Linked DNA regions of Mus musculus: region 2 is reported to be linked to region 1. Evidence: microRNA targets listed by miRTarBase, many of them from high-throughput screens and not tested one by one. Region 1 holds a microRNA gene; the other region holds the end of a gene's coding sequence.

What was found. The annotated mature microRNA mmu-miR-872-5p reads AAGGUUACUUGUUAGUUCAGG and lies in region 1 at 1,815-1,835, opposite strand. An mRNA with a match to its seed (bases 2 to 7 or 8) in the 3' UTR can be bound and repressed. Matches are read on the target gene's strand: a 7mer-m8 pairs with bases 2 to 8, a 7mer-A1 pairs with bases 2 to 7 and ends in A, and an 8mer does both.
Region 2: the mRNA of St6galnac3 is a reported target of mmu-miR-872-5p. Seed matches in the 3' UTR shown: 7mer-m8 at 1,310-1,316.

Annotation. Positions count from the first base shown.
Region 1 is chr4:94,662,458-94,667,001 of GRCm38, reverse strand. It overlaps Mir872 (microRNA 872), which reads right to left and starts at 1,845; the gene lies at 1,765-1,845. It overlaps Ift74 (intraflagellar transport 74), which reads right to left. Exons shown (of 20, transcript NM_026319.3): 13 at 4,336-4,415.
Region 2 is chr3:153,202,065-153,206,064 of GRCm38, forward strand. It overlaps St6galnac3 (ST6 (alpha-N-acetyl-neuraminyl-2,3-beta-galactosyl-1,3)-N-acetylgalactosaminide alpha-2,6-sialyltransferase 3), which reads right to left. Exons shown (of 5, transcript NM_011372.2): 5 at 445-3,527. The coding sequence ends at 3,341. Among named protein-coding and RNA genes, the nearest start is that of Gm33066, 20 kb to the right of the region's middle.

The DNA of each region.
Region 1 (4,544 bases):
TCACTGCTCTTCCAGAGGTCCCAAGTTCAATTCTCAGCAACCACATGGTGGCTTACAATCATCTGTATGAGATCCGATGCCCTCTTCTGGTGTGTCTGAAGACAGCTATAGTGTAATCATATACATAAAATAAATAATTCAAAAAAAATGCAACACTTTAAAAAGTAATCATTTGGTTCACACCTATGAGGCTGAGTTCCCAACATTACTGAAATTTTGAGTGCAGTGTGGGCTATGTAGCAAGCACTTGACTAAAAAGAAGTAGGGCTGGAGAGATGGCTCAGTGGTTAAGAGCACCGACTTTTCTTCCAGAGGTCCTAAGTTCAATTCCCAGCAATCACATGGTAGCTCACAACAATCTGTAATAAGATCTGATGCCTTCTTCTGGTGTGTCTGAAGACAGCTACAGTGTACTCATATAAATAAAATAAATAAACCTTAAAAAAATAAAAATAAAAAATAAAAATAGCAATTAAAAATGTTTTTATTTGGTGGTTCAAGCTGTTCTAATCTTGAAAATATTAGAAGGGTCACACTTCCCTAGCCCTAAATTTATATGGTATTCTGGATACAGGGCAAGTTTTCAAACCTCTTTGTTCGGATTTTGCTCACAGTTCTTAGTGCCAACTTGGCAAAAGCAGCTAGCATAACCTACACAATCGCCTGTATCCTGAGCTCTCCTGAAACTTCCTCTCCACAATGATCTAGTCAGTCCTTTAGCATTAGGCATCACACAGAATCTCAGAACAAAAAGCACAGACCAACAAGTTCATTGCCAGAATGTAATATGCATGATCTTGTTCTCATTTAAAATATCACGAGTCAAAAATATCCACCACGTTATTAGAAAGCATGAATCCAAGGTAGGGATCCTCTGGAAAGTAATGAAATCTTTGCACTCAAGCTTTCTGAAGAGCACACACTTAGATCCTAAAATAAGAGGACCCAAAGAAGAGATTAGAGCTCAATTTTCACCTTTGTTCATTGTACAATTCCTTCTTTCTTAAATTATGGATTGTTTAGGGTATCCAAAACGCATTTACTTCCCAGATACTGTGTTGATGAACTAGATTACTAAAGTCAGTTAAGAGGTAGTCCCTGCCCTTGAGGGCTTACAGTCTAAGAGGGAAGACAAATAAATTAAGTAGGCAACTGTAAAACATTCTCTGTTCCGGTAACATGGAGGACAGTTACTCATCTAAGCCTAGAAACTAGTTAGGGAAGAAGTTCAGAGTTTTGTCGAGTAAGAGGATGCCAAGTTAAATGTTAAAGGCTAAGAATTTAATCAGAAGACAAGAAGAACAACAAACATTCAGTTAAACAGAAGACAACAAAAACAAAAGGTTAGAGCATAAAATAGTTGAATGAATGGTAATAAGGAGAAATGTAAGGTAGCAGAAAGAAATTACTACAGAGCTGGGTAAGATGGTTCCTATCTGTAATCCCTTCTTTTGGAGGATGAGGTATGAGGATTGCTGTGAATTTGAAGCTAGTCTGGGCTATACAACAAGTTCTAGGCAAGCCTGAGCTATAGTGTAAGAACTGGTTTAAAGGGGAGGCAGAGCCCAGAGATGACTATGGGATGAAATGGAGGCTGACAGAGTCACAGTAGAGAACTAATATGACATATAAAACTTGTTATTTTGTGCATCATGGTGAACCATATTTAAGCAGGACAAGGACACCAAGACATATTTTACACAAATCATTTTTTTACAGCATTATACCAGAAAAAAACTTAGAAGGGGCAAGAATGGAGGTGGGATAACCAGTTAGGAGGCTACTGCAATAGTTCAGGCAGAAAGTAATGAGGTCCTGAACTAACAAGTAACCTTCTAACAAGTTACCATCTACACAACCCCCTGTGTTGTCGCAGAAATTAGGATGATCACAGAGCAGAGAAGTGGCAACAATAATCACTGATGTATTAATACACTTACCTGTGAGTATATACACACAGTTTATATATTTATATATGCTTATATGTCCTAATAGCACCGTTACTCAGAATTAGCTTATTCTATATTAATAAAAATATTTGAAACAAAAAAAGAAAACAGAAGCAAAACCCAAAGCATTCTGCATTCTATTCTATTCTATTCTATTCTATTCTATTCTATTCTATTCTATTCTATTCTATTCTATTCTATTCTATTCTATAGAATGTTGCTACCCACACTTATCCCCTAAGGCAGTCATCATAGAAAACAACCTCATAGATATGCTATTAATTTATGTGCTTTGTAAATCAGGTTGACAATAAAATTAACCATCCCAGGTAAAGATGCAGATGTAGACAAAAAAATAATCTACTACTTTATTAGAAAGCATAAATCCAAGGTAGGGATTACAAGTTCAATTAATAAATTTTACTTCCCAAATGCATCATTTTAGGAGAATGAACTAAACACTATACATTATAATTTAGGAAGAAAATTATTTAGGATGCAATCTGTAAAGTTTCTAAAATAAAAACATCAGACTTTTCTAAATAGATCTACATATATGAAAAGTAACAGAGAGGAAATGACATAGACAAAAGACACAAAATTCCATAAGCTGAGAATCAATTGATGAGATCACTGTACAACATTAGTGTAAATATACTCTTTTCTCCCTTGGATCTTTCATTACAGAGTTTCTGTTATGTATTCCTAGCTGTCCTGGAGCTCACTATATAATCCGAAGGGGGGTGGTGCTCAAATTCACCGGTACACTCCTGCTTCTGTCTTCAGTGAGGGGATTCAAGGTGTGTGCTGCCAGGCCCAGCAACAATGTGGCCCATGCTTGAGGATCATGAGAAGTAGATTTAAGTTGCTCTCAATGAACAACATGTAAAGTGACTGAGCCATTCAAATATATACATACTTCAGAACATGCTACAAACAATAAGTATATATAATCTTTTCAATTACAAAAACAAATGAAAAATACAGTTTAAATTTAATATGACCTTAGTACTGTTATGAGCCTACCTTTGTCACAAATGCTACTTAATACATAAACTTTAGTGAGACATTACCATGATGCTCATTTCCCAAACCAGAAAACTAAAGCATAGTCAAGCTTACTTACCTAAGCCTTTAGAAGTCTTATTAATGCCATTAGTAACTTCATGTAGATATAACTATATGTTTCTAAGAACATATTTTAATTTCACAAATGAAATGCTTTGAATCAGAAAGTCAAGCTTATGCTTAGGCAGTGGAACTAAGACTTTATCATCAGAAAACCTTTGGTTTAAGTCTAGTTTTTACTACTAACTTGGAGAATTTAGCAAACTACTAATTGCCCTGAGCTTTCATGGTTATAAAATGGATTAGCTAGTATTCAAAGATTTCTTATAGAGTATTCTATCCAGGTAAGTGATTTATCAACAAAACAAGTAGTATTTATATGATTAACAAAAAGGCATGAATACTATCTTTAAAATCAAAGTAAAGGGCTGGAGAGATGGCTCAGTGGTTAAGAGCACGGGCTGCTCTTCCAGAGGACAGGTATTCAATTCCCAGCCCCCATATGGCAGCTCACAACTGTCTGTAACTCCAGTTCCAGGGGATCCAATACCCTCACACAAAGATATAGATAGATAGATAGATAGATAGATAGATAGATAGACAGACAGACATATAAAACACCAATGTACAGAAAATCTAAAAAATAAATTTTATTAAAGATTTGTTTAATAAATAAATAAAAGTAAAAACAAAGACTAAGGATACTATTTTTCCTACTGTGAATGTCTCTTATCATTCATTGGTAAATTATCCTGATTTTCCTCCACTACTGATAATATATAGTTGATACTGGTTAGTCCATGAACAAATTTATCAGTTGAAGGTAAGCTATGAAGTCTTTAAACAGGGAATCTATACCAAGAGTAATCTGGCTGAGAATTATGATGCCCACAGTTCTCCCATACACACAGAATTTCTACCATTAGGACCCTAGGCTGGGGAAAAAATAGAGAACAGTGCTTGCTCTCTCACAACTGAGCTCAACCAGGAAACGAAGCCTCTCTGGGCTACTTGAAGTATTTGTTACCTGATTATCCTCTCCTCTACCACAAAAAGAAAAAAGAAAAAAAAAAGAATCCTTTGAAAATCTAGGTACTTATCTTATACAATCATTAAGTTACTTAAAATTTTAATCAAGTAATTATTTTTACACTATTTATAATACTCGGTATATATATTTCAGTTAAGTTGGGCGTATCATAGAGTATTATATTTATCTAAATAATAAAAGTCACTAAGATTACAAATTAATACGCATCTGTTCAGATGCGTATTAATCGCATTTTGAAAAACTCAAAAAATATACCACAAACATTACCTTGGTGCTCCTCTAAATCCATGTCAAGTTGTCTAATTTCTTCACTAAATTGGTTTATTTTTTCTTTTATATCTGTTAACCTGTTAAAAATATTAGTGAATTTTAGAAGCAACACAAGGAAAAAAATCATAATGAACATCAGCAAATTGAAATTTTTTCTACTACCAGAACATCATTAAAAGGTTAAAATACATCTAATACAATGTGAT
Region 2 (4,000 bases), not on the chromosome of region 1:
TCTTCTCTGGCTTTATTCCTCTGGCCAGCCATGCGGTGTGATTTCATACACACTCGGCAATCAGCGCATTTACTTTGGATTTTTTTTTTTTTCCTTTTCAGGATTCAAAATGAAACCCAACAAATTTCAGCTGAAGTCTAAAATAAGGCTTTCTATGAGTCACACATCGGCAAAGGCTGTGGAATCATATGCATGCTTTCTCATACAGTTGTAAGTACATATATATGCACTGCCCATTCATGTACTACATGCACAAATGGACTTCATGTTCATAAAGACAAACATACCTTCAAATTAATTATCATTTTTGATAGTTTGTCGCCAAGATAAAAATCATCTGTCAATTACAACATCAATATGACTTATTCAAAGGCTAACTTCAAAGAGACTTTAAATACTTTACATTTTCCATTGTTTTTAAAAAGGATTCTAAAGAATTAGAAATAATATTCTATGACTTTATTTAAAAATATTTCTTAGGATAGAGTACTCCAGAGTCTCTCACTCTCTTGTATGCCATTGAGTTGTGGTGTCTGTGTGTACATTTCCATTTTTCTTTTCATAAATATTAATTAATATATAGGTAGTTATGTAGCAGTGCTGAGTGAGGTCATTTAACTTTAATGTTTGGGTGTGGATAAAATCTTTCGGTGGACTAGTACCTGCAGGGCCAACAGGAGCTTTGACTAATGCTCGCCCTTGCCCACCCACTTGTCTCACTCTCTCACCAAGTCCAAGATGGAGAATTTCTCCTTCACATGGGAGAAATTAGACTTTGCATTTCTACCAGAACTAAGGCTGGAAGAAAGGGACAGGAAATGGAAGCAGAGAAAAGTATTACTTCAGAGGAAAGCAACTCCTGAGCGTTGGTCAAAGCCCTCATTGCAAAGGCACTCAACTGGGTCTTCATGAAGTGCTTTTGGTTTCATACTTTGCAAAAAAGGAGACAGACAACAAGGAGAAAGAAAGAGGAGGGAGGAGGATGGGGGAGGAGGGAGAAGAAGAGGGGAGGAGGAGAGAGAAGAGGAGGAGGAGGAGAGAGAAGAGAAGGAGGAGAGCTGAGAAAGGGGGGAAGGAGAGAGAAGGGGGAGGGAGAGAGAAGGGGGGTGAGGGCCACTGTCTATGCCATTCCAGACGACTGCAGGCTTAAATTTGGACGCTGCCTTTTCCACACACAGTGTGAGGAAAGCCCACACAAGAGGAAGCTATAGCTCTCTTTAGGGAGGCAGGAGAGTATGTTTGTTGAGTCTCTCATCTGTAAGCACCAAAATAGAGTTAGCCCACCACTGACTGGGCAGTGACACAAATCAGGTTACACACTCCTGAAGGCATTCAGATAACTGAGTGTTCATTTCATGTAAAAGCAGAACTGCATCACAACTGAGAGAAAACAACGCTCACATTGAAATTTTAACATTGCTATTATTTATTTTCCTTTAAGTGGGCATCTTGAATCACTATCAGCTCTAAAATCTAACATTCATAGAACTAAAAAAAAAAAGTCACATAAGCAAACAATAGAATAACCACTCCTCCCAGGGATGAGGCTGGGGCTGGGTAACTCTTGTGGGTGTGGGTGTGGGATGTCTATCAGTGTGACAGTGTAGGGTAGGAAAGATGCACATCTTAATGACGTCACACGTCACATGGCCTTTAGTCCTAGCCCTGTCAAGGTTCTACAGCTGAGGTGTATTGTTATTTCCAGCTCTAAAACATTAAATGCAGCCTGGTTTTAGCTTTTGAATTGTTGTGCCAAGATATTTATAGATGCTTGGTAGTGTCTCAGAAAACCAACTTCTAATATTTAAGGACCATTGATCTACGGAGAAGGAAGCCGTCTCAGGCCTAGACCAGGGAACTGTATTTCTCTGCTTCCATTCCTATCCATTGTCCCCGAGCCCTGGAACAGAGCCACTGACAGAAACAAAAACATTAAAAGTATCTAAGCTTATAGGGTACTGATCTATGACACAGCCATCCTTGTGGTCATCTTGTATAATCTCTGCTGTATTTGGCAGAGAACTCAATCATATACTAATTTACACAAATGCTACTCTATACATATATTCTGAGGCAGAGCAACTTGGGACACAGGAACACAGCTAACAATGCAGATCAGCTGCTGGGGGTGGCAGAATGTGCCGGCAATCATCCAGTGAGGCGGCCGTGGGTGTCACATGGCACACAGCATATGTGAAGCATAGCGAAGCACTTTGGGAAGTAAGCTCGTCACCATTTTACTGTCCTAGCAGAACATCTGATAACCTAAGGGATGGTCAACCCCATGAAGGCAAAAGCTCAGCCTGGGTTTGATGGTATAAAGAGTGTTTGGCACTTGGCATTGATAATGTATATGGAAAGATACCCTTTCAGCTTATAAAATAGAAATTTGAATTTAAAAATATATATTATGAATATGATAGGATACAAATTGATGCAAAAATATGTCTTGCTTTCCCTGTTTTGTGATTCAAAAAGCATCTCATTTGTTGGTACTGAGTGCTGAAGCAGAGAGAGAAACCCTTTGGTTATGCTCAAGAAATGCTTTCACAGTATGTGTTATTACAGTGTTGAAGTATATCTAACATGTTAATACTTAGCACTCAACCAAAAATAACTAAACATTAACGTAGGTAACTGTAATAATATGTTTAGTTATATTGTTTTGAGTAGTGAGAGCACAGCTGTCTGAGTGAAAATTTGTCAATATTTGCTACTTGATACATTTTGAATTAAGTCTCTGAGATAGTCCAGTAATCCTGGTACGCAGGAATTACAGAATGCCTTCATTGCTACATTTAGGTAGGTGGCCTGAGGCTTTCGCTGAGAGACATATGGAAGGAAGATGGCATATCAGAAAGAGATACCTCCCCTCTATCAGGCTGACTGGTAACTGTGGCATGACATCTATACCCTGAAGGATGACTTGGGACAGTGTTTGATAGTCCACCATTTTCCAAGATGGGGAGCAGCCCGTGCACTCAGTAAGCTTGCCTGAGCAGGCAGAAGTCGTCACTTCTGGAAGCCTCTTGAAGAATTCTGAGCAGCTATCTTGAAAGGTAATCTTCGTGTTTTCTTTAGTCACAGCCATCAGGTCACTGGCCTTCATTTCAACCGTAGGTAAGTTTTAAAGTGCAATTGATAGGGCCGAACCACCAGAAAGATCAGAATGAACATGACCGCCTCCCATGGAACGCCAAGTTCAAATTACTAACAGAGTCAGTATCCACACCAGAGAATGTCCAGGGCCATGGTCACACCCTGAACATCCTGCCTACACCGTCAGCACCATCAGCCTCTCTTCACCACAGCTGCAGTGTCATGGTCGGGAAGCACGGCATCAGGACAGCGTCCAGTTCGGGTGTGTGAATACTATTCTGTGCTTCTTGGCCCACTTGGCAAACACTTTCTTCTCGGTGATGAACCTGTGTCCCCCATACGGGGCATGTTCATGGAGAAGATATTCGTTACACTCATCTTTCCCTTGTTCATAGTAGTGATAGGGGACTTTTCTATACCCTTCTGTCCTGGAAGAGAAACAGAAGGGGAGGAAGACTGAGCTGAGCCGAGGATGAGGCTGGCGTTTACAAGCGTCCATTACATACCCCGCAAATGCATTTAACTTACAAGCCTTCATCAATGAGCTCAGTTAAAAGCTACCGCACATGAAAGCTTTTAGGGAAACGGAACCGTTCTCAGTGTCCTAATAGATCAAATACAATTTACATATCCTACCAATTACATTCAAACACATGGCTCAGTTTCAAAGGAGGAGATGGTATGAGACAGGACAAACCTTACGCAGCCCAGTGCTCTTTAAGGGGTAAGGAAACTGAGTTTTCACAGTGAAGTTTGGGGGTCATCTGTGTTCTCTTAGACTTAGTGGTTATAGCAAATGTTTATTCATGAAGACTGTGACCCAGAGTTACATTTTAAGAGTATGATTAAATGCTCTCTGATTCATATTGGTAGAGGAACTATATTCCACCACCTTCATTAA